3 linked regions of the Drosophila melanogaster genome follow. Changing the gene in region 1 together with any one later gene gives a genetic interaction. Each region holds a gene or a part of one and is shown on either strand. Other genes may lie near its edges.

What was found. Genes that interact genetically often act in the same process or in processes that back each other up.
Region 2: of put (region 1) and I-2, changing one enhances a phenotype caused by changing the other (phenotypic enhancement), as found in Drosophila melanogaster (one study listed by BioGRID).
Region 3: of put (region 1) and ea, changing one enhances a phenotype caused by changing the other (phenotypic enhancement), as found in Drosophila melanogaster (one study listed by BioGRID).

Annotation. Positions count from the first base shown.
Region 1 is NT_033777.3:14,618,344-14,628,732, reverse strand, and holds put (punt), read left to right. Parts: upstream 1-3,029; 5' UTR 3,030-3,487; coding exon 3,488-3,533; intron 3,534-5,060; coding exon 5,061-5,246; intron 5,247-5,313; coding exon 5,314-5,490; intron 5,491-6,429; coding exon 6,430-6,575; intron 6,576-6,643; coding exon 6,644-7,459; intron 7,460-7,519; coding exon 7,520-7,699; coding exon of another isoform or gene 7,700-7,711; 3' UTR 7,712-9,703; downstream 9,704-10,389. Other genes in the region: CG7886 (uncharacterized protein), read left to right, coding at 2-464, 523-967, 1,046-1,723; His4r (histone H4 replacement), read right to left, coding at 2,308-2,439, 2,504-2,683.
Region 2 is NT_037436.4:9,832,710-9,840,055, forward strand, and holds I-2 (Inhibitor-2), read right to left. Parts: upstream 3,797-7,346; coding exon 3,500-3,796; intron 3,438-3,499; coding exon 3,340-3,437; intron 3,272-3,339; coding exon 3,104-3,271; intron 2,725-3,103; coding exon 2,630-2,724; intron 2,574-2,629; coding exon 2,299-2,573; 3' UTR 1,658-2,298; downstream 1-1,657. Other genes in the region: CG43897 (uncharacterized protein), read left to right, coding at 30-157, 219-308; Cdk8 (Cyclin-dependent kinase 8), read right to left, coding at 4,470-5,703, 5,766-5,896.
Region 3 is NT_033777.3:15,325,340-15,332,065, forward strand, and holds ea (easter), read left to right. Parts: upstream 1-3,389; 5' UTR 3,390-3,593; coding exon 3,594-3,654; intron 3,655-3,743; exon of another isoform or gene 3,744-3,840; coding exon 3,841-4,227; intron 4,228-4,291; coding exon 4,292-5,022; 3' UTR 5,023-5,069; downstream 5,070-6,726. Other genes in the region: CG6236 (uncharacterized protein), read right to left, coding at 200-514, 592-896, 953-1,313, 1,371-1,974, 2,037-2,224, 2,291-2,441, 2,588-2,706; mRpL9 (mitochondrial ribosomal protein L9), read left to right, coding at 5,415-5,486, 5,544-6,218; Fkbp39 (FK506-binding protein 39kD), read right to left, coding at 6,365-6,726. UniProt on the Drosophila melanogaster protein: Component of the extracellular signaling pathway that establishes the dorsal-ventral pathway of the embryo.

The sequences.
Region 1 (10,389 bases):
GAAATCGACATGGAGGGCTGCGGCCTGACGGATATCGGGGCAAATCTAATTCTCGATTGCCTGGAGCTGAACACGGCCATTACGGAGTTCAATGTGCGAAACAACGAAGGAATCAGTAAGTTCCTGCAGCGAAGTATCCATGATCGTCTTGGCTGTTTACCAGAGGAGAAACAGGAGCCAGAGTATGATCTCAGTTGCGTCAACGGGCTACAGAGCCTGCCCAAGAACAAGAAGGTCACCGTCTCTCAACTGCTGTCCCACACCAAAGCATTGGAGGAGCAGCTCTCCTTCGAGCGAACGTTGCGCAAGAAGGCCGAGAAGCTGAATGAGAAGCTTAGCCACCAGCTCATGAGACCCGACTCCAATCACATGGTTCAAGAGAAGGCCATGGAGGGAGGATCACAAACGAACATTTCGAGGGAATATGTGGCGCGGAATGATGTTATGCCAGAAGTCATCAAAAAGTGGGCTAGCTCTCAATTCTCAATTCAATGCCTATCTGATTTGAGTATTTCTTCACAGTTCCCAAAGCTACCGCCAGTCGCACTTCAACCGGCTGGTCAACAGTGCGGCCACCAGTCCCGAAGTCACACCCCGCAGCGAGATTGTCACATTGCGCAAGGAGCAGCAGCTGCAACGTCAACAACCCCCACCAATGGAGGTCAAGCATCTTTCCTTGGAGCAGCAAATCCGAAATCTGCGCGACGTGCAGAAAAAGGTGGACTTGGACGTGGAGGAAGAGGAGGAGGAGGAGGAGGAGGAACAGCAGGCGGAGGAAAGTCAATCCGAGTCGGAGCCGCAGAACGAGGAGCAACAGCATTACGAACAGCAAATGCAGGTCCAACGCAAACATCTCCAGGTGCGCAAGGTTCGCAGTGAGATTAAGTATGTGGAAAACAATCCCAAGGAGGCAGCCAAAAAGAATCGCGAGTCCAAGTCGGACCATGAGTTTGCCAACGAGAGAGATGTGAGTAGTATCCACAATATAAATTAACCAGTACTAGCAATTTATTCTCCTGTACGATAACCCATCTTATCCCCACAGTTCAAGCTTAATCCCTCTGTTCAATTCGAGACGGACATTGGCGACAATGTGATGGTCAATCCTGGCCACCGATACGAGGGCGGCGGGGGCGATACGGCCTATGTCTACAACTATGAGCATGAGCAGCAGCAGCAGCCAGTCAAGCGGGGCTACGAGCACGGCTATGTGGTGGGCGTGGGTGACGGATCCCACAGGAGGCAGAGGCAATCTCAACTGGTCGAGGCTTTGGTGCAAAAACGTGTCCCAGGCGCCAGCGATGGACATGTGGCGCAGTTCGTTAGCAATCTGGAACGACAAGCGAATGCTGGTAAAACGGGGAAAAAGCGCCTTAAACCTCGGCCTGAGGACGATCTTCAGGTACCAGTCGGCGACATGCACATGGAGTCGTCGTATATGTCCCGCTCCGAAGAACTCTCCTCAACGGACGTTACGCTGGAGAACTCAGACTACGAGACGGAGGCGACGGACTCCACGTTACTTAGTAGCTCGAAATACTCCTCCATGCATGTCTTTGTGCGGCGCAAGCAATCGGAGTCCATGTCACTCACAGAAGAGGCCGGCGACGGAGATGCCGGCGGTGGTGGAGGCTCTGGCGATTTCGGCGACCAAAATGTCATATCCCCGGCCAATGTCTACATGTCCCTGCAGCTCCAGAAGCAGCGGGAGCAGAGCGCCTAGGGGTCGTGACTTTAGGTTCCTCCATTCAAAATCCCCGCAGCCATTCGCAGCCGGAGCAGCGACACCACAGCTGGCTGATACGCCGAGCAGTAACAACAACAACACCACTACCACCACCATCACACCCACAACAAAGCAGCCAACTCGATTCGATAGGATCCCCACTGGGAGAGCTAAATTTGCAGTCATACTCCCGGGCAGTAGCAGTAGAAAAGGGAACCTGCTCCTTTTTGCACGTCCTGCCATCTGCGAATTCAAGCTGCACCAAAAATGTACAAAAATATACTTTGGTCTTACTAATTTCCATTAAAGATTTATTATTTGTGTGCTCCCTAAGCGAGTTTGTTGGACCTTATTTTCGGATGATTAACCGCCCCAAGTCAAAATGCACATATGCATGATATTGAGTTCTCTATGTGATATCTTTTGATTTATTTAGTCCGTATATTGTGAAATTATAAAATATTTGCGTTCGGTTAAGTTTGCGTTGAATACTACTGATTAAGATTCAATTGGATCAAGTATTTTGAATGTAGTTAAGTTAACTCCATGGTTATTTATTATGTGGAGGTTAGAGGGCGTGCTTAACCGCCAAATCCGTAAAGGGTGCGTCCCTGGCGCTTGAGGGCATAGACCACGTCCATGGCGGTCACGGTCTTGCGCTTGGCGTGCTCGGTGTAGGTGACAGCGTCACGGATAACGTTCTCAAGGAATACCTGTGAATTTTCCGAGAAATTAATCAGTTTTTCACCACTTTCCCTTCGTTTCGCCAGAACGTACCTTTAGCACACCGCGAGTTTCCTCGTAAATCAAGCCAGAGATACGCTTAACACCGCCGCGACGAGCCAAACGGCGAATAGCAGGCTTGGTGATACCCTGGATGTTATCACGAAGCACCTTACGATGACGCTTGGCGCCCCCCTTTCCCAATCCTTTGCCTCCCTTTCCACGACCAGTCATTTCTCAGTTGCTTCGTAAAGTTGGCTGAAAAGAAGAGAAGACGCAATAAACTGTAAAGCGACGCCATGTTTGGTGAAAGGTAAACGTTCATTTGACAGGTGAAAACTGTTGTTAATAAGTCTGTTTTCATACAAAATAATGGTCTCCAATTATTTTTTTTATGTTTATGCACAAAAAAACTTTGTTGACCGATTCTTCTATTATTTACTTAAATTTCTCAGCAACAAAACTCACTTCAAGAAATCTCCAGAAAATTGCTTGTGAGCGTGACCAGATCTCGCACACCTCAAAATACCTTTCGCAAAATGCGCGTATCTAGTATTTCTATTGTCTCACTACCAGCCCTGGTCAGTTATCGCCTATCGGCCATCGCTATCGCCGCCCCGTTGCGACAAAAAAGATTTAATCGAACCGAAAGACGTGCTCGCACTAAAATCGCTTGAAAACAGGCCCGCAGACCTGCGAAAAACGAAAAAGTGCAGCGCGCATATACTTTTTCAACTGTGCCCCTCTAGCTTAAAATTAAGTCGCGGCGAAAAGTCGAGTAAAACCCGCGGAAATGCGCATGCAAACGGCGTGTGGCCAGCAAAATCGCTGCCAAGGCACCGCACACACACTCGGCCACCCACACATACACACTTAGTGCTGTACTCGAAAAGTGCGAAGACAACAGGAACTCTGTGCCAAAATAATATTAACAGTACCCAGTTATTCCATTCCACTGCACCTGTCCCCGAAACATCGAAATATTCGCGTTACGTATACGCAACGAGTGCTGTAAACAAGTTTGCACAGGCGATAACAATGTCCAAATACGATCTGCTTTATCTAACGGCGCAGCTAACGCTGGGTATGTATTGCACTGCGAGTGTGTGGGTGCATACTTATTGGCGCCTTAATTCCCAGTCGCTTTATTATGTACATATGTACATAATATTATATTTTGTCTCTGCCTTACGATTTTCCTCTGTAATGCAAGCCGACTTCGATTTATAACCATTCGTGCGTGTGATTTTTGATGATATGGGGTGCGTAATGCTATTACTTTATTAATATCACATGGCGCTTGAAAAGTTCATATATAGGGTGTATAGGCTTTGTGATAGCTTTGTCCTATTAACCAACACATCAGAACATCTTAAATTTTCAGAAATTAGGTATAACGAATGTAAATGCTAGGAATCAAATCTATTTGTGAAGTGAATAATGTATACACTAGATACTCTATTAAAGCACCAACAATTGTACTACACAAATGTAGTAAAATATCGTAAGAATTGTTGACAGTGGGTACTACGAATTCATATGTTGAGCGCCAAACGCATACTCGGTATAAATCGATCGGATACCTAATTCCCAATCTTAATCCATGTGTGTGTGCGCTGAGCATTTCTTTGAATGGATTTTGCTGCATTAGGAACTTGTTGTATGGCAGGTTCTGGTTTCTCCCACCCTTTTGCTCCACCGGCCTCCCTCTCTTTCGCTCGCCATAGCCCTCTCTCTTTCTGTGGCGCAGTGCGCTCTCTTCCCTGTTGCTGCTGTTGTTGTTGTTGTTTCTGCTGCTGCTGTTTCCTTTTTCCGCACAAGCGCCACTTTAAACCCATCCCTTTCTGTGTGCATAATGTGCCTGCTTATGTATCTACTTTACTATAAAGCATGCACGCTTACGAACACACACATACATGGCCAGCGATCCGATTACCTAAAGGACAGTGGGACGAAAAGTGTTTCAAAGGATTGAAAACAGTTTGCTTAGCCAATGGTCAAGAAATATCAATCAATATATCGCAGGCTCGTTGCAATAAACGTTTTCAAAATTAAATTTTTTGTATTTACACATTTAAAAAGTGAATTATCATTTTAATTTTTATCAACAAAAATTTCGGTATTTGGATGAGGATCCCAGATTAAATCGAATTAAAGAATGTAAATAGATTTTCAAGAAACCTTACTGCAGGCCCACTGTGCACTGCATATCCGTGCATTGGGGCCATGCCCACTCAAAGGCTGGTGTGTGGCCAGTGGGGCTAATTCCGTGCCCAAATGGGGTGGCTTTCAATGGCAGAGGCCCCAGCTTAGGACGCTACTCCTGCTACTTCTGGGCATGCGATATGTGTACAAAGGATAGCGCCCACAAAGAGCTCGCTGAGCGCCCTCCCTTTCAGTCTTATTCCCCAAATAGGCTCGACTTTATTTGCCCACCCTTTGAGCACTTCCAACCGATAATTCCATTAACTTTGATCTTTAACTACGTTTTAACTTTTTGAAAGTCTTTACTCATGTTTTAGGACTGCTCAAATATATACTTTAAATATAGATCAGTGCTAATCTAAAACTAGAAAGATTATTAATCTATTTTCCCATTGTCTTCATTTAGTCTGCTGTCTGATTGGAATCCATGGATCTATTTTGCCCGGAAGTCATGGGATCATAGAATGCGAGCACTTCGACGAGAAGATGTGCAACACAACGCAGCAATGTGAAACACGGATAGAGCACTGTAAGATGGAGGCGGATAAGTTTCCCAGCTGCTATGTCCTTTGGTCGGTCAACGAGACAACGGGTGAGCCGTGCAGAAGTTGACGTTGTTTCAGGCATACTGATTAATTTTAATTTTTCCGTTCCCATAGGCATCCTGCGCATCAAGATGAAGGGCTGCTTCACGGACATGCACGAATGCAATCAGACGGAGTGCGTGACCAGTGCAGAGCCACGGCAGGGAAACATTCACTTCTGCTGCTGCAAGGGATCGCGGTGCAATTCCAACCAGAAATATATTAAAAGCACCACGGAGGCAACCACACAAGGTGGGTTCGGATCCGGTTTCGGATTCAGATTCGGTTTAACGTTTGCTGCTACTGGGGTTTTGTCTTTGGAGTGTTTACCCCAATTTTGTTATTTTTCCGTTTGCATATATTTTTTGTTTGTTTTTGTTATTTCGTTTTTTTTTTTTTTTTTTGTATTTTTACTGCATCTTCAAGTTGCAAAAAGAGGGCGTAGGCTTCGCCTACAAAATACCACTCCTCGCATCCGAGGCAGCGTTTTTCGTGTTAACGAACTCTTGACGCGAAGTGGCGCCCGCTCCCCCATCATTTTCTACATCCCCAGCCTCCAGCAACCCCTTTTCGGAGCCGCATGTGTTGCAATTTCTGCCCTCCTGTGCACGTTCGCTGGTTCGTTTTTATTTTTATAGTAAGGTACTTCTTTAGCGATCGGGTATAATGCGTTCGCTTTAAAGGATGCAACTGAAAGAGGTAGTTATTTGGTATAAATCCAATTTATTTCACTCCGATTATGAAGGCTTAATAGGATTAGACTCTACCTATTTTGAATGATACTTAATTGGCTTGCAGCCTTAACCCACAACGAGGAGAGTATCTGTTATCTAATACCAGGTATACAAGTGTCGAGTGACTTCATTCTAGCATCCTTTCTTGTTTTTATTTTTGGGGTGTTGCTGCTGCCTTTGACTTCGAAGCCCTGTGCTGCCAGGGCGTCTTTTGTGCCCTGCTCTTTGTTGTTTTGTTCTTGGGCCTAGCTCGCTTTTATCTCGAAACAAAATGAGGGGAAAAAGAGATGCGAAATTGGGGGCGAACTTTCGTTTTTTAGTTTTCGTTTTGCCTTTCATAGCAACCCCAGCAGCTGCAGGTGCATGCCGCCACTCGAGATGTTGTTCACCTGTGGCAAGGCAGCGTTTAAAGCCCTCTTTAATGTTCGTTCCCGTGTGTGTCCTTGTATCGTTGCAGTGCCCAAGGAGAAGACGCAGGACGGCAGCAATTTGATATACATCTACATTGGCACCTCCGTTTTCAGCGTGCTCATGGTCATTGTTGGCATGGGCCTTCTTCTCTACCGACGCCGCAAGCAGGCGCACTTTAACGAGATACCCACGGTACGTACATATCCTTGTGATGTTGCCGCAAATATATAATTTTAATTATGCAAAATTAAACCCTTTAGCACGAGGCTGAGATAACAAACTCATCGCCATTGCTCAGCAACCGTCCCATTCAGCTGCTGGAACAGAAGGCCAGTGGTAGATTCGGTGATGTGTGGCAAGCCAAGCTCAACAATCAGGATGTGGCCGTCAAGATCTTTCGCATGCAGGAAAAAGAATCGTGGACCACGGAGCACGATATCTACAAGCTGCCGCGCATGCGCCATCCGAACATCCTCGAATTCCTGGGCGTTGAGAAGCACATGGACAAGCCGGAATATTGGCTGATATCCACCTACCAGCATAACGGATCACTATGCGACTACCTCAAATCGCACACGATCTCATGGCCAGAGTTGTGCCGCATCGCTGAGTCCATGGCCAATGGACTGGCACATCTGCACGAGGAGATCCCGGCATCAAAGACCGATGGGCTAAAACCATCGATAGCTCACCGAGACTTCAAGTCTAAGAACGTACTGCTTAAGAGCGATCTGACGGCCTGTATAGCTGACTTTGGTTTGGCCATGATATTCCAGCCAGGCAAGCCCTGCGGCGATACACACGGTCAAGTAGGCACTCGACGTTACATGGCCCCAGAGGTGCTTGAGGGTGCCATCAATTTCAATAGAGACGCTTTCTTACGCATAGACGTCTACGCATGCGGCCTAGTCCTCTGGGAAATGGTGTCACGGTGTGACTTTGCCGGACCCGTCGGTGAGTTCCAGCTGCCTTTTGAGGCCGAGCTGGGCCTGAGGCCGTCGCTGGACGAAGTTCAGGAGAGTGTGGTAATGAAGAAGCTGCGCCCTCGTTTGCTCAACTCCTGGCGCGCCCATCCGGTGAGTGTGACTTCTGATAATGCTTTTAGTCAATGAAAATAACTTGTAACTTTTTTACAGGGACTTAATGTATTCTGCGACACAATGGAGGAGTGCTGGGATCACGACGCTGAGGCTCGTCTTAGCTCTTCGTGTGTGATGGAACGCTTTGCGCAGCTAAACAAGTATCCCTCAACCCAGTTGCTAATCAAGAACCACACCAACATTGACGACGCCAAGGAATCTACGAATTGCTTATAGAAGCGGTACTAAGCCACAGACCAGCCAGCGGATCTGTGGCTCTGCAAAAAAATCAGTTGAAGCTTTTTGCTTCGTAGTGGATAGTTGATCGTCGAGGTCGTAAGACGTTTCGTTTTTAGTTTAATAGTTTGTAGTACCATTATAAGCAGCTATAGAATGGGTTGATTTATACGAAAGAAGTCGTGTAAGATGTAACTTTTCCTAAGGGAAAAGCCAAAAGCTTAACATGCCAACGATTCTTTGTTATTATTTTCTTTAAATTATAAATCGACTCATTCGATGTTAACCCGAGTTCTTAAATCTGTTGGAAATGAGTGGAAACGTACACTAAGCAACTTTGAACAAAGAGCATTAGCTATGTCCAGAGACGTGGTAGTTGCTAATCCGACATTGACTTCATTGACTGATAACCATATATAGTTCTATATAAATCATACATATAACGTACAATTTGTTTTGCCCTCTGGCAGTAGCCTGTGTGCATATGTAAACTGTTGAAAATTATCGTCAAGCCTTTTAAAGTATAATTTTATTTGTACGTTATCGAATGTCTTCATATAGTAGTAGTTTTATATTTAAAGTTATTTTCAAAATAGATTTAACAATTTTAGTTTACTTTTTAGTTGTAACGTTTTTATTTCGCGCTCAAACGTGCATGCGTTTTAATGTTGTATTTTAAATAAAAATACTTTAAACTCCATCCTAACCATCTGATTTTTTATTATTTTGTCTGTTTTATATTTCTGCTTTTGATTTTTATTTTTTTATTTCCAAAACGTAGTGCCAATGACCCTCAGAAATCGCGTAAGCATAATAAATGTGTAATTATGTAATTGTATTCTAATTCTACTGGACAGTACAAGCAACACCTGAAGTTTTCAAAGGAAAGTTTCTTTTTAACAAGAATCTAACTTAAGCGCATATACATAAATTATAAAATATAAACTATACTCTTTATATATACACACAACACATACACGCATAGGCATACGGAACACACGCAGTCTAGCAGGTTTATATGAAGCACACGCTGCGACTCATCGTCAGCATAAAATCTAAACAAAAAAAAAATCAAAGTTAATATTCAACCCAAGAGGTATGCACACACTGTAAGAAATTAGAGCTAAACACAATGAGTAAGTATGTTAAACATTGTTAAACGGATAGTATGTCTTATAATGTTAGCCAAACAAGGTGTATGTCGAGCTATAGTTATTTAAGCTATAGTTTAATTAAGAGAGTCTTGGCGGAATGTATTATCTTTCGGGTTATTTGAAACTTTTTTGCGCAGCATCAGTTCTTATCAATGGCTAAGCATCTGAAATACTTCTGGATTATCAGTTAAGATATCAACTAAACACGATACACAACACAGAACAAAACGAAACAAACAAAGCTTCATTACCTGATTTTTTTGAGCAACTTACAACAAAAATAGTTTATTACGCAAACAAACAAAAACCAAACGACATAATCTTAATAATAGAACGAATTTTGTTATGCTGTATTTAATTTGTATATTTTCCATTGGTGCTGAAACATCATTACGACGAACATAATGATAATGAAGATAATAAGAAACGAATTCAAAAACAACCAGTATTTAAAGAGCGAAGGAATAAACAATTAATATTTAATCATAGTAGTTTGTTACATATCAGATTGCTAAATGGGATAGAGGAAGATAATATAAATCGATCATTTCAAAAAGATTTGCAGAGAAATTTTTATAGCATTATACAAGGCAATAACAAGCCAACAGCAATTTTGGTATATTTTTTAATGCATTTCATAAGTAAAACCAAAACGAGTTTATAAACAGTAAATTCATAAGAAAATCTTTTTAAAACACCCCATTTTCGAATATCATCAGCAAAGTTTTATAAAAACCAATATGCGAAAAACATATACGAGATGATAGCAAGTCGTGTTAAGAAGTTTACGATTAAAAAACGATCTTTGATAATAACGGATTTAAAATAAAAATGCAACTGTTTAATAAACAATTCATCACCGGTTTTTCCTTAATAAAAATCGACTCTATTCCAGCTTTCTTGCCACTTTTATTACAATTGTCTTCCGTAAACATTCAGACCTTCTGGATTATATAATTCAACAATACAGATAGGAAAACTTAGCCAAGAGCTACACATATCAGATACAAATATTTATATGAATAATATTAAATATACGGTTTATTACTGGGGGAGTTTTTAGAGTTATGTCCCTGATTAACTTATACAACGAAATCGAACGAATATATAGACTCTAGTACAGGCTTAATTGATACAAAATATATATATTTACAATCTTCTACGTAGTTTGTGACATTGGACCATTTCAGTTGTAGTTCTACGATCGTTCGTTCCATCCTCCGTCTGTTTTATAGACATATCAGACTTATCCTTGGCTTCGTAACTCTCATTCTTCTATATCCTGGGGAAAAAATCGATCTCTATCAAATGCAAAAATGTAAAGCATTCCAAGTCCTGTGCGTTCTGAATGGGTGTCTTACTAAAATATATACTTGTAAATCTATGTAAATCTATATTGATTCGGTTTCGCATTCCGTGTGTGTGTATAATCACCTAATCCTTAGCCATTCTCAGCTTACTGTATCGAGTATATCTTTATTGGGTTCTAGGCTTAACATGTACAATATATAATAGTATAAATAGGTATTAATGTAT
Region 2 (7,346 bases), on another chromosome or scaffold:
TATAGTTAACATTTATAAAATTATTCTAGGAGGCAGCAAATTGCGCGGAGATTTGAAATGGCCACCACCGGAGTACAAGGAGGCCGCGGCTCGCGAGAACGAGGAACGACGCCAGTTGGCGTTGGGTCCCGTCTGCCGTCCCAGGAGAGTTAACCGGGTAGGATATAGCCGCTTAAGATACATATCAATTCGATATTAATGCATATGTGTAATAGCAGGACTACACACCCTTCTTTGCCAAGCACCAGTTGAACAATGGCTATCCCAGCTACAAGGTGCCTCCGGGCACCCAGCACATTTTCGGCTAAGTTTGGGAAAGACTCTTTCAGATGCCAAGAACAACAACAACAACAACAGCATAAAATTCAATGGAACCCACTTCATAATAATACTGAAAACGATCAATGTCTATGTTACTAAAACGAAACACTAACGAATCAATCTATCTATATAGGATATATACAATTGTTATACTAATCTTAAATGACCACTAACGACGCCATATATACTATACATATATTACGAAACGAACCCATGTTAGGTGAATGCAATACTACAGCAGGTGTGACACCAACCGGTGAATCATCTTCAATATTATCCGTATAAATATAGATGCTCGCTGATTCCACGATCAGATTGCATCCACTCGAGATAATACTAATGATGATTCGTGGGCTTGGAACCCTGATCCAAGCTGCCCAAACGGTGCAGCAATGGATAACGAAAATCTCCATGCACCCATACTATATACACATATTTGGAGCATGTGCATATAGTATGGCTTAGATTGGAGACCAGAACTATATGCTATATGCTATATAGTGCTAGATGCTAAGATGATTGTTAAACTATTAACTAGCAAATGAAATGGAAACGATGCGACCCAAGACGGAAAAATGATAATGAGATTGAACCTTGTCTTAGATGTAAGAGCAATACTAAACTATTTATTGTGAGCATATTCTATTTAACGCAGATCCCGTGCAGCGATGAGCTCAAGGAATCCTCTGGGCGAACCACAATCACCAATTGTAAATTGTTCCCCGATATCGTGGCACATCCTTTGGAGCCGCTCGCACGGGTTTCTCAATGTTTATTGTTTGAGTTTGCATGCTTTTTGCTTATATCTATATTATATGCACATATATATATATATATATATATATTTACCTTGAAATTGTTAAACTGCAAATTATAAAAAACCGTCAAATATCCCGCTATAAGTAAGTTATACAAGAAACCAGGCGACCGCGCCGAAACAAATCTGTGAGTTCGAAATATGTCATTCAAGGATATTAAATTCAACGCGCACGTTCGGATTATGCCACCCCTATAAGGCCCCATCAGTCCCCCTTCCAGCCGTCTGAGGTCGGCCCTTTAGTTCGCCCGCTGACCCCAGGCAATAATATGAGGATGCCTTTGCCTGCTGGACGAGCAGCCGCGGACTCAGGGCCCAGATCTTGGCGTATGGATGGGGGATGAGGCCGGGGCGAGATCGAGGACGGGCCAACACAACTCTCAGACTTTACCAATTACTATGACCAGCAATGTCTATACGCAACTACACTACGATGTATAACTAATATGAAATGAGAAACTAAATAAACGGCAAGTTTTGAATACTCGCGACGAGAAGAACTATTTCGAAGGTTTTTTTCAATTGGGTTTTTGGACTCTCTTTATTGAAACGCTCGGCTCGCATTCGATGGCTAAAACTTAATAGTAATCATAATAGTATCGTATTAATAAATAACTAAAAGTAAGGCCAAATCAATTTCAACGCTAGTTACAACAAGTTATCCATTCTGTGGCACTGGGCATCCAATCAAATTAAATGCAAACGGAGCTGCGAACGGGTTGGCTTTCCATCTCGATATCAATTTGAAAGACTTTTGTTTAACTACATTTGCAACAATACAGGACGCTACGGCTGAGACGCATACGATTAATTATATTTTGTGTCGTACAATCAAATTCTCCGACCAGGTGCACATTCTTTGTGCTCTAAACTCAATTTGCAACAATAAAGTGCCCCTCGGCTTATCGGCTGTGTTCACTACTCGATGACGCATCTCCTTGGCGACGGTTTGTTTTTTGTGTTTAGTTGGGTAAATTCAATTAATCACGAGTGCTCCTCGCCACCCTGCTAATCAGCATCCACTTCTCACTCCGCACTCGCACAGCACTTGATAATTTGATATAATTTCGTTTGTTTATTGTTTTGGATGAGCTGCCCTCAGAATCGTCCATTGTCCGCTAGGTAAACATTAGTGATTGATTGATGGGTTGACATTGCTTCTAGTTATTCGATGGCTCCAGGTCCATGTTCTGGCCGGCGCTGGTAGACGGGGATGTGGTGGAGTCAGCCTGAGAGCTCGACCGTTTGGTCGAACTGCTCGCGAAACGTCCGGAGCTGGAAGCGCCCTGTGACGAGCCCGAGGGCCGGCTATCCGCACCCTTGTCCTCGTCGTCATCGTCGTCGTCCTCCTCCTGGATCAGTTTTCGTGCCAGTTTGACGGCCTCAAACTCGCGATAGTGGGCCTTACGGCGTCGCTCGAATTCGCGCCGCCGTTCTGCAAGCAAATATGTTTGAGCAATTGTTGGAATCTGAGATGTTCATGGTACTTACGTCGCTCCTCTTCGCTAAGGGGCTGGTCATCACCGGAGGAACCATCGTCCTCGATGCTCTCTGTCGACGGCTGTGTGTTAGCCGCTATGCGGAGTCTGCAAATTAGTATGTGTTTTTAGTAATTGTAAGTGCAATAATATGTAAACTACAAAATGACTGGCACGGCTTTAAAATAAGTCTTCAAATTTCAAAAAAAACTTTTTCTTTTCAAACAAATTATTGATTATGAATTTAGCTAGTTATATTCTTAAGAAATCTGAGGCAGTCATATTGCTCAATAATGTTGATATATTTGATTATCATTTTGCAAATCGTATAATTATCAACGATTGTTTAATCTCTGAATCTATAAGTCACATGTAAACAAACAAATGTGAACGGCGCATTTTCTGGAAATCAGTTTTGTTTGAAACTTGATACTCTGTGCTCTTGCCAAACCATTTAGCAAGTAAACAATAGGAAAGCTCCACATACTTCTCCACTAGCAACTCCGTGTCCAGCTCGTCCCTGTTCTCGTCGAAGCCCTCCGTGTAGTTGTACGGCGTTTTGGGCTCATCGATTTTCATGTGTCCGTAGTCCTTGTCGGCCGGATGGAAGGTCTGCATCACGTTCAGCTCATCGAACTTGGCACTTTTGCGAAAACTTTTTAAAAGGATGAAAAAGAAACCAATTAATAAGGGCTATTAACTGGGGTCATTCGATGACCTCACCTGGCTCCCGACTTGTCGAAGCTACGCGAAGTCTTTAGTATACCCTTGCAGGGTAGCTGTGGGCTGGGATTGTTCTGCATCCTGGCTATCTGTGTTACCTGTAACAATGGGCAAAGACCAGAGTGTGCTTTAGTTGCGAACAATGCACGCGGATAATTACGTCAGGCGGTTGGGAGTCATTGATGATTTCGTAGATTTTATGGTTGTTGTTTCTGTTGCTGCTGCCACTGTTGCTGCTGGACAATCGTGAATCACGGCGGCAGTAGCCGAACAGGCACTGAAATCGCGATGTTCGCCAGATTATAATGGCACAGGTCGCGGCGAAACCTCGTGCCCTTGGAGGGGTTGCCATTGCCGCCCACTGGGTGGCCACTACGGCCAGCAATGCCCCACCAACACCCCGCTGGACATCCGACGCATTGTTGTCGTCCGCCTCCGCCTGCACCACCGCCTCCATTCCGAATCCCACTTACTTGTGTGACTTTCGCCTGTTAACTGCAATTGCAACTGCGTTTCCGGAGGGCAATTTACGCCACAATCTTCAAGTTGGCAGCCAGCTGGGTTTTGGGCGAGGGCCACGATCTCATCGATGTCGCCAGACGGGCGGTTTTGATCTTAATTTGGAAAACGTTAGATTTGGCTCTTTACGCTTTAATGGTCACTGTGTGGATATTCTCTTCTAATTTGTATTGCAAAGCAAATGGCAAATCCGGTAAAATATTCTAACAAATTCTACTAGAGCTGGCAACACAGCGATGGCACCTTCGATTACATTTAATCGATACTTGCGTATCGTGACCCAAGCCGACACAAAAACATAACATGCTTTAAATAAATAGCTCAGACTCGAACCAATTTTAAAAATAGTTTTCAAAACTTCGTTTGAGAAATTCATTTTTGAGAGGAAAGAACATGCATTCAAATTTATTTTTGAATATCCTTCGGAAAGATATTTCAACGAATTTGAGTTAATTGGAGTTCACAAAATTAAATAAAGAAAACCCTGTCCATTAAAAATCAACGTTTTATATCGTACACTTTACTTGCTATTATCAAGGTCATTAAATTAAATACTTAGAAGGCTAGAAATTAGTAGGTGTTGTAGAAAAAATGCTGCATGTATCAGTCTCTCAGTTGAAGCGCTGGAAGTTCTGCTGCTGATTGAACATCATCTGTTGCTGCTGCTGCTGCTGTTGTTGCTGCTGCTGCTGTTGCTGCTGCTGCTGGTGGTGAAAATCTTGCTGGTTACCAGCTCCGGACAATCGAACTCTCTTTGCATTCGGCTCAGCGTTCATTTGCTGCTGCTGCTGCTGCTGTTGTTGTTGCTGCTGCTGTTGCTGCTGCTGTTGCTGCTGTTGTTGCTGCTGCTGTTGCTGCTGTCGCTTATTATCCGACTTATCTTCCTGGTCGTCGTCGGTGAGGAATTCACGCTTGGGATACGGTATGGGGCAGCCGGCGAACACGTCCTGCGTGGGCTGCGGCTCCTCCTGGAAGTACTGATCCTGCATGGCCTGTTCGGAGGTGATGCGCTTGTTGGGATCCATTAGCAGCAGCTTCTGCAGCAGGTGAAAGGCCTTGCTGTCTGGCTTTATTTTGTGCCTTTCCATGTATTTGGCCAGCGAGCAGGTGGAGTATGTGGAGCGTTTAAAGTCCTTTGTCAGCGTATGATGTTCCGGCATCTTCTTGATATCCTCCCAGTCCTTGTCCTGCGGAAAGCCCATCACATTGAAGATGCGGTCTAGCTGATCGTGATGGTACGGATTACTGGTCTTTATGTCCTCCTGGCGGCAATGGAAGATGGGCTCCGAAGTGAGTAGTTCGGCGAAAATACAGCCAATAGCCCAGATGTCGATAGCCTTGGTGTAGTGACGAGCGCCAAGCAGCAGTTCCGGAGCGCGATACCAAAAGGTAACCACCACGGGATCCAGATCTGCCAGCGGTTTCAATGGGGCATTGAAGAGCCGCGCGAAACCCATGTCGGCGATTTTTACGCGGCCCCTCTCGTTGCCATCGCCCATCACCAGGATGTTGGCCGGCTTCAGGTCACGATGTAGCACCCAATTACTGTGCAGATAGTGAATCCCATCCAGAATCTGATATAGCAGACTTTTAACCATACCGCGGGGAACCACAACCTGCTTTTTGGTGGCCTTAGCAGCCCGATGGAACTTAATGATGTGCCACAGGTCGTGCTCCGCATAGTCGATCAACAGGAACACCTTGCGGTCGTTGTGCGACAGAAACACCCGGATGAGGGTAATTACGTTCTGATGCTTCAGTTCGCGCAGCAATGCGATCTCGCGGCAGGCGGACATGGACAATCCGGTGCCGTCGATCTGCTTCAAGGCATATTCTTTGCCATCGCTAAAGAACATGAATACTATAATTATTTATATTGTTTGAAGAGCACCCGATGACCAGTTCACCTTGTCTCCTTCCATTTCGCCTTGTAGACGTGGCCGTATGTTCCGCGTCCCACCTTACAGCCCTCGTAGTTGAATAGGTCCTCCACTTTCGTACGCTCTATCTGCGTTTTCATCTTGAAATCGTAGTCCATTTTTACAAAAGTTTGCAAATTCCACAATTGTTTGTAAATGAAGATGCCGCCAATCAGCTGTCTCCCGATAACGATAACACAGCCTTAACCAGGGATGGAAAATGGGAACAGTGCTCGCCATACCTAGCTTTTTTTATAGCTAGCCTTTTAAAACAGAAAACATTTTTTTATAATTTTGTTTTTTTTAATTTTTTGTTTACTGTTTAAAAAATTCTATTGTATCCACAAACAAGCAAAGCCAGAAAAACTTTCTGTATATTTCATTCAACCTCGTAAAAAAAAAACTTGTTTCTAAAGAAAGAAAGAAAATAGAAATATAATCCCCCTAAATATTTTTGAATTCTGAACCAAATCAAATACATATATATTGGATGTTATATAGAAAAATAGGTAATCCAATAGTACTTGACAAGGTGCTTGTATAATCCTATCACAATAAAATATGAAAGCTCTATCAATAATAAACTCAAAAGAAAACGAAATCAAAATTTATCCATTGGCGATACGCTTTATTTTTCCCTTGGAAAATATCTATGTTTTTATTTTCGATTCTTTGTACCAACAACTTATCAGCTAGGCATGGTAAAAGTAAACTATAATTGTGTCCTTAAAATGCAAGTGAAATTATATGTATATGAACCACGTTGGAAACTCCAAACAATTTAAATTCATAGCAACATCTCGTCGTGTTTCTTTCTCCGTTTCGTATCTCTATGTACATTATGCAGATATTAGAATTAAGAAATGCACAAATTATTGGATTGGAATGCATAAACAAAAGGCAATATGATTGAACGCGGCGAAGGAAGACACTTTTCAATGCGATTGATGAACACTGAACTAAATATGGCAAAAATTAGATTATTTAACATTCTAGTTCTAGATGTAAATTACATGTGTAATTAATATGGAAGAGCTTTGGAAACAAATCGGTGGAAGTAAGTCGAAGCTAACCAAATCGTGTTTGTGTAACAATTAACTTGTTTTTCGTTTTAAGTTTAATATGAAATTAAATGCATTTAATAAATATAGGTGTGCGTGCGTATGTGTTTGTATATGCAAAATGGAAGTAAATTTGTTCTTAACAATGCTTTTTGTTTGTATTCTAGAATTTGCCGAATACATATCGTGTGTTGTTTAACATTAGCTGTATGACAGTTATATAAAGTAAATATACATGTAAATGTATGTTTTTTTCATGCTTTTCGCAGTATTTTTCTCGCGTTCAGATTGCGTTAGAATTATTTGCTTTTCGCGTGTGTCGCCTCTGGGCAAAACGCCTAGTTTAGTTGATTTTTTAGAAATTTTTGCTACGCCTAAATTAACTGGTATAATGAAGTTAATCATACACATGTACATACATACTGTGGGATATATATATACTCGTGTATCTGCTATTTACATCTTTTCATTTTCATTTCGCTACTCATCATCCCGCCGATACTTAACT
Region 3 (6,726 bases), 710 kb from region 1:
ATGTCATTTTTTTATTAACTCATTACTATCGTTGATTAAAGGAACGTATATTACAAACTGAGGCAGATCTTTTAACTTAAGGAGCCAGTGACAATATTCTTTGGAAGGAGTAATCTAAAATCTACAATCAGTGCAGAAATCTATTCCAGTTGATTGCTTAGCAGTTTCTATGTTTTGGACTTGTCATTTTGTGCACAAATCAATCGCGACAGTAGCAGTACTTCCGCAGCTCCGGATCCCGGTCGTATATGCACCGGGCCTGATTTCCATACTTATTGACGCGCGAGATGTCCGTGAGTTTCGTTGTGGCACTGAACGTGTGCAGGCTATAGGCCACGCTCGCCTCAAACAGTCCCTCGCCGGGCATCGTTACCACCTGGAGCTGGTACATCTCATCGCGGACCAGCGTCTGACCCGTCATGTCCGCCAGGAAGCCGTCGCGGTCGCTGTTTGTCCTGAATTGCAGCAGCTCCTTGTGCGGCTGCAGACGCAGCGCCCAATTTACACGGTGAATCTGTTGAACAATGAAACAAATGGAAGTATGATCTTTATCTTATCTGGAAATGTAATCATTAAATTGATGATTCGAACCTCCAGAGGTGCACAGTATTGGCGTTGCTCGACTGTGGCCAAGTTGATGGCATTTACAATACTTTGGGCAGCCTTGAGAATGATGCCCGTATACCGGGAGTCGTTCAGCTGCAATGGCAGCCAATTGAGGCAGGCACACCAGTGAGGCTCTATGTAGGCATCCGCACAGGATCGATTGCTCGGAATTGGATCCAACAGCGACATGGCACGTCCACGGGCTAACTCCGAGATGCGAATCCCAGGCGGGCTTGTTTCAGTTTTCGGATCGTTTATTTCTCCAAATTGATCCACAGCGGTTTGCAGTTCTGTGAAAAATCCAGCATTATTATCTTGTAGATGTCTAACGCTCTGTCGTACATACGTATTACGTGTTTCAGCGTGGCATGAATGTCGAATGGCGTGGTCAGGTGATGCTCGTTGGCCAGAAAGTTTTTGTACTCCTGCGGAAAGCGCTTCTTAAACGACTCGGGAAATACGAAACTGAAGAACGGCAGACGCTCTTCCTGTTTTCCCTGCAGAGTGGCTCGCACCTCGGCAAATCGATTGCCATGATCGGCCATCATGATGAGAATGGTGTCGTCTAGCAGCGATCGTTCCTTGAGCGCCACCAGCCAGTCATGGACATCATCATCCGCTGCTCCCACTAAGTTGATGGAGTCGTGGGACAAGCCGCCATGGAAGCTGAAGGCAAAGCGCGGTGCATCGCGATACTTAAGCATAAACTGTACGAAAATTATACAATGAGTTAGTTTCCAAGCACATTTCGAAAGAGAACATACGTTTTTTGTGTACTCCAGCATGGTGATGTGATCAGGCTGGTGGCCAATGCAGTTGGGCTTGCTCTCGGCGGCCATGTGCTCCGCCTGGACATAGTAGGTACGCAGGTAGTGGTCCACCGGCTGGGCCTCAAACCCTGTCATGCGGTACGTGAAAGTGCCCACATTGGGCAAATCCTCATTAAAGGAGGTCATATATCCCAGGCGGGCAAAATCCTTCCAAATCATAGGATACGAATCCACGCTGCCTGCCCCGGACAACCGCTTCCTTGTCTCCGGCAGCTCCAGTTCCGTGAAACCCGTCAGTAGGGGCACCAGCGCCTGTGGCGTACCATCGCCCACAATGTTATAGCCTTTGAGAACGGTGGCGCCCAACTGTTGGGTGAGATACTCGTAGGTCCTGGGCAGCTTGCGAATGAAGGCATTGCGACTCAGCGAATCGAAGCCAAACATGAGGACATTGTAGATGGGAGCTGTGGCCCCATCCTGCATCTGCTGCTGGGCCTGCGCAACCGCCTCGGGTGGTAGGACGGCCAAGTTCGGGGAGAAATTGGAGGCCGGTGGACGGGGCACCGTATCCCGTATTCCGTGGGCCATGCCAAACCAACTAAGTACATGAAGATCATTCTTTAAAGTATAGGCATAACTATAAAATAAGATAATGGTCACCTCTCGCCGCTGGAGGATCGACAGACCACCTTGACAAAGTCGCTGGCCTGCAGCACATAGGGCTCCTTCATGCGCAGTGACTGCCCAAAGCGAACCTTGTAGTCCGACTTGCGAATAATGTCCGTGTAGGAGCAGATCACATCCTCGTGGCTGGACGCAATCTCTGGTCGCACAAAGCAAATGGATTTCTTTGGGGGAAACGAGGTTTAAGTTAAGCAATCAGCTCTTGTAGAAGGGGCCCAGTCCCAACCAACCTCACACATGACCCAGTCCATGCCCTCGCCGCAGTTTATTCGCTCAACCGGCTTGTAGAACTTCATGATGTCCGGATTGTCCAGCGGCAGATGGGGATGCCGGCACTCGCCACGATTCACAGCCGATCTTATGGAGCGCTCGATGATTTCGCTTTAATTAAATACAAAATTGAATTAGTTGCAAAAGATAAATACTCTTTATCACAAATATGCGCATATGTACATATACATATGTATGGACAAACATCGTACAATCAATATCCCAAGCCGCTGTGACGCACAACTAGACATACTTACATTTTGAGGCTCTTATCCAGATCCCGCTCCACGTTCAACACATACCAGGTGACCAGCAGGACCACCACACAGCAACATGCTGCAATCTTGGGGACAGTTCCCCGCCGCACAAAGCGCATTTTGAATAAATTATGAGCTGCAAATATCGGACCAGACACATGAGACTTGCATTCGCATTATTGCTGCACATACAGCACTCACTCGGCACTCAAGCGACGTACTACTTACACCACTGCCGATCTCCAAACTTGCCGCCTATTCGACCTTTACTAAATATCCACGCTCATTTTTTAAATTAAACATTTAACTTATCACCAGCTGCGACGTACCGCTATATGCGAGTTGCCAAAACAGTGGCAAACAACATTGCGAATTCGGTCATACTGTGTTGTTTGGCAACGCGACCGCTGCAATTTAAACTGCGACTTTAAACTTTGCTTTAGGTCCGATTTAAAGTCGGTAGAACTTTCAGTTTGCTGTAGAACGAAATATACCGTTAGCTTATCGTTAATGATAGTGCTTTTTGCTATCAAAACACCATGTGATACAATCGAACTTAGGCGGGGATTAAATAATGGTAGATACTCCCTTAAATTTGCCGAGTACTTTACTTACACTCAGCATGTGACAAAGTAAATTCTATTAGTACCAAAGTTAAATAAGCCAACTGACAATTACTAAGAATAATAATTGGAAGAGAGATAAAGATCTGCTCCCACGATTATCTTCATATCTGATTTGGAGACTCGCCAAAAAGCTTGCGACAAAGCTCGCAGGCCGAGAACCGCGTCCGTCCGAAGATTCAGTTGTGCGCCAAGCTCAGCTTCGGCCTCTTCGTTTCACTCCGCTCCGCTGTGGCACCTGGTATCGTCCATATTATCGCGCCGTTTATTTTGATAACTGCTTCTGCGGTCGGTCTGTAATATTGTTTTTAGGCAAAACATTATCCGCAAACCACTGACGACGTCTTGAGAAAGGACTAACGAGGTCCGATTGCGCAACGAAAATGCTAAAGCCATCGATTATCTGCCTCTTTTTGGGCATTTTGGCGAAATCATCGGCGGGCCGTAAGTAAATAGAAGACTGCCAAGATGCTCATCTGCTGGACATGACTAGCTTAACGTATTTGTTTTTTTTTGCCGCGGGCCTTCACAAGTCGCTGGAAACCTGTTTCCGTACTTCCATAGCTAATGACCTAATTTATGTATTCACAATATTGGTAAGCTCTCTGAACCTAAAGTCTGGATTTCCAGAGTTCTACTTCCCCAACGAGGCGGCCCAGGTGCCCAACTATGGGCGCTGCATAACGCCGAATCGGGAGCGTGCGCTGTGCATCCATCTGGAGGACTGCAAGTACCTATACGGCCTGCTGACCACCACCCCGCTCCGGGACACGGACCGGCTTTACCTGAGTCGCAGCCAGTGCGGCTATACGAACGGCAAGGTGCTCATCTGCTGTCCGGACCGCTACAGGGAGAGCTCATCGGAGACGACGCCACCGCCCAAGCCCAATGTAACCAGCAACAGCCTTCTGCCGCTGCCAGGACAATGCGGCAACATCCTGTCCAATCGCATCTATGGCGGAATGAAGACCAAGATCGACGAGTTCCCCTGGATGGCTCTAATTGAATACACCAAAAGTAAGTAGAGGGGCATCGTCTTAAGTCTGAACGCACTTATCCACTGGTTAATTCCTACATGCAGGCCAGGGCAAAAAGGGTCACCATTGCGGCGGATCCTTGATCAGCACAAGATATGTGATCACAGCCTCGCATTGTGTCAACGGAAAGGCACTGCCCACCGACTGGCGGTTGTCCGGTGTTCGTTTGGGCGAATGGGACACCAACACTAATCCCGATTGCGAAGTAGATGTGCGCGGCATGAAGGACTGCGCGCCACCGCATCTGGACGTGCCCGTGGAGCGTACTATACCCCATCCCGACTATATACCGGCCTCCAAGAACCAGGTCAACGACATAGCCCTGCTGCGTCTGGCCCAGCAGGTGGAGTACACCGACTTTGTGCGACCCATTTGCCTGCCTCTGGACGTCAATCTGCGGTCGGCCACCTTCGACGGCATCACCATGGACGTGGCCGGCTGGGGCAAAACGGAGCAGCTGTCGGCCAGCAACCTCAAGCTGAAGGCAGCCGTGGAGGGATTCCGGATGGATGAGTGCCAGAACGTCTACAGCAGCCAGGACATTCTCCTCGAGGACACACAGATGTGTGCCGGCGGCAAGGAAGGCGTCGACTCCTGTCGCGGTGACTCCGGGGGACCGCTCATCGGCTTGGACACCAACAAGGTGAACACCTACTACTTCCTGGCCGGCGTCGTGTCATTTGGACCGACTCCGTGCGGTCTGGCCGGATGGCCAGGAGTTTACACGCTGGTGGGCAAGTACGTTGATTGGATACAAAACACTATTGAGTCCTGATTGTAAAATGTCATATTGTAAATAAATTCGACTAACGGTTTCCGTTTAAAAACTGCTTCACAGCGTGTACGCATACTGCATGTCGATGGGCGCGTTCGCCGAAATATTGGCATAGTCAATCTTTTATTTTGTAATGAAACTATTAAATTAAAATTGACAGTCATAATACTTTCAAAGGTACATTTTTTTTAATCAATTAAAAGGTAAATTGGGCAAATTATTTTGCTTTATTAAAATGTAAAGAAATAGTTGCAATAAAAAAACTAAATTCATAATCGTTTTCAAAGTCACTGAAAATTTTACTGCTGAACTCACGCAGATTAAATAATCATATCTGGCAACACTGCAAACTGGCTGAGTAGTCTGGCAACGCAGACATATTGGTGGTAAAAATGTTGAAGAACATCTACGTAACGCCGTTAAATTTGCTTAAATCGGCCACCAGCCTGCAGCAGCAAGTGCGGGTAAGTGCTCTCCTGGATTAGGGAAGCGATCCCCATTCACCACCAATTTGCTTCCAGACCACGTTCGTCCTGAAGCGCAAATATGACCCGCCGCTGCACAAAACCAACGAGAAACCCCGCCGGATGAGGGCCAAGAACTTCATCTACGAGCTCGTGGACGACACGCTGGTCAAAAAGCGGCCCAACATCGAGGTGGTGCTAAAGACCTTCGTCGAGGGCGTTGGCGACAAGGGCGACGTGGTGTCAATGAAGCCGCACTTTGTCTACAATAAGCTCCTGCTGCCGGGTTTGGCCGCGTACAATACGCCGGAGAATGTGGCCAAGTACGCCAAGACAGAGGCTGAAAAATCGACTGTTAAACACAGCTCCCCCTACGCCCAGCGCACGGTCAACATGCTGGAGACCATTGTGCTGGCGGTGGTCATGAACAAGGATGAGCCATGGGTGCTCGAGCCCTGGCACATCAAGGCCTCGCTGCGCAAGACTGGGTTCTATTGTCGCGAGGAGTGCATTACCCTGCCCAAGGAGCGCATCGAGGGACCCGACCTGAAGAAGGAGAACAAGGACTTCTACTGCACTGTGACCATAAACAAGCTGGAACAGGCGCGACTCAAGTGTCGTCTGCACCACTGGAGCACAGATCCCAGCGAACGGCTGCCTTACGTACTCGAGCACTGGAAACTCCAGTCTGAGCCCCTGCTGGATGTATGTTCACCCGAAAAAACCCCTTAGAGACCCCATACCAAATACATGCGATTGTTACAAAACTGTTGATTTATGAACAGCCGGAAAACAGAGTTTATTTAACATTTTTATCAAGTTGTACGACGTGGATACTTACTTAGGATTACAAGTCTATATGATGTTAATATAGTGCACTAATGCACAGCTTTCAGTTCCACTTCGAAGACGAGAGTGGAGTTCGGTCCGATCTTCGGTGGAGCTCCCCGTGCGCCGTACGCCATGTGCGGGGGGCAGGTAATGACTCGCTTGCCGCCCACCTTCATGCCGGCGACTCCCACGTCCCAGCCCTTGATGACCTCTCCGCCGCCCAGGGCGAACTTAAATGGTTTTCCCTTCAGGAGGCTGTCGAAGGTCTTGTTGTTCGACTGCAGGCGGCCGATGTAGTAAACAGATACGCGTTTGCCCTGCTTGGCTTCTTCGCCTTTGCCGACGACCTGATCCACAATCTTCACGCCTCCGGTGATAGTACGTGGATCCTTAGAAGCTGGTTGCTGCT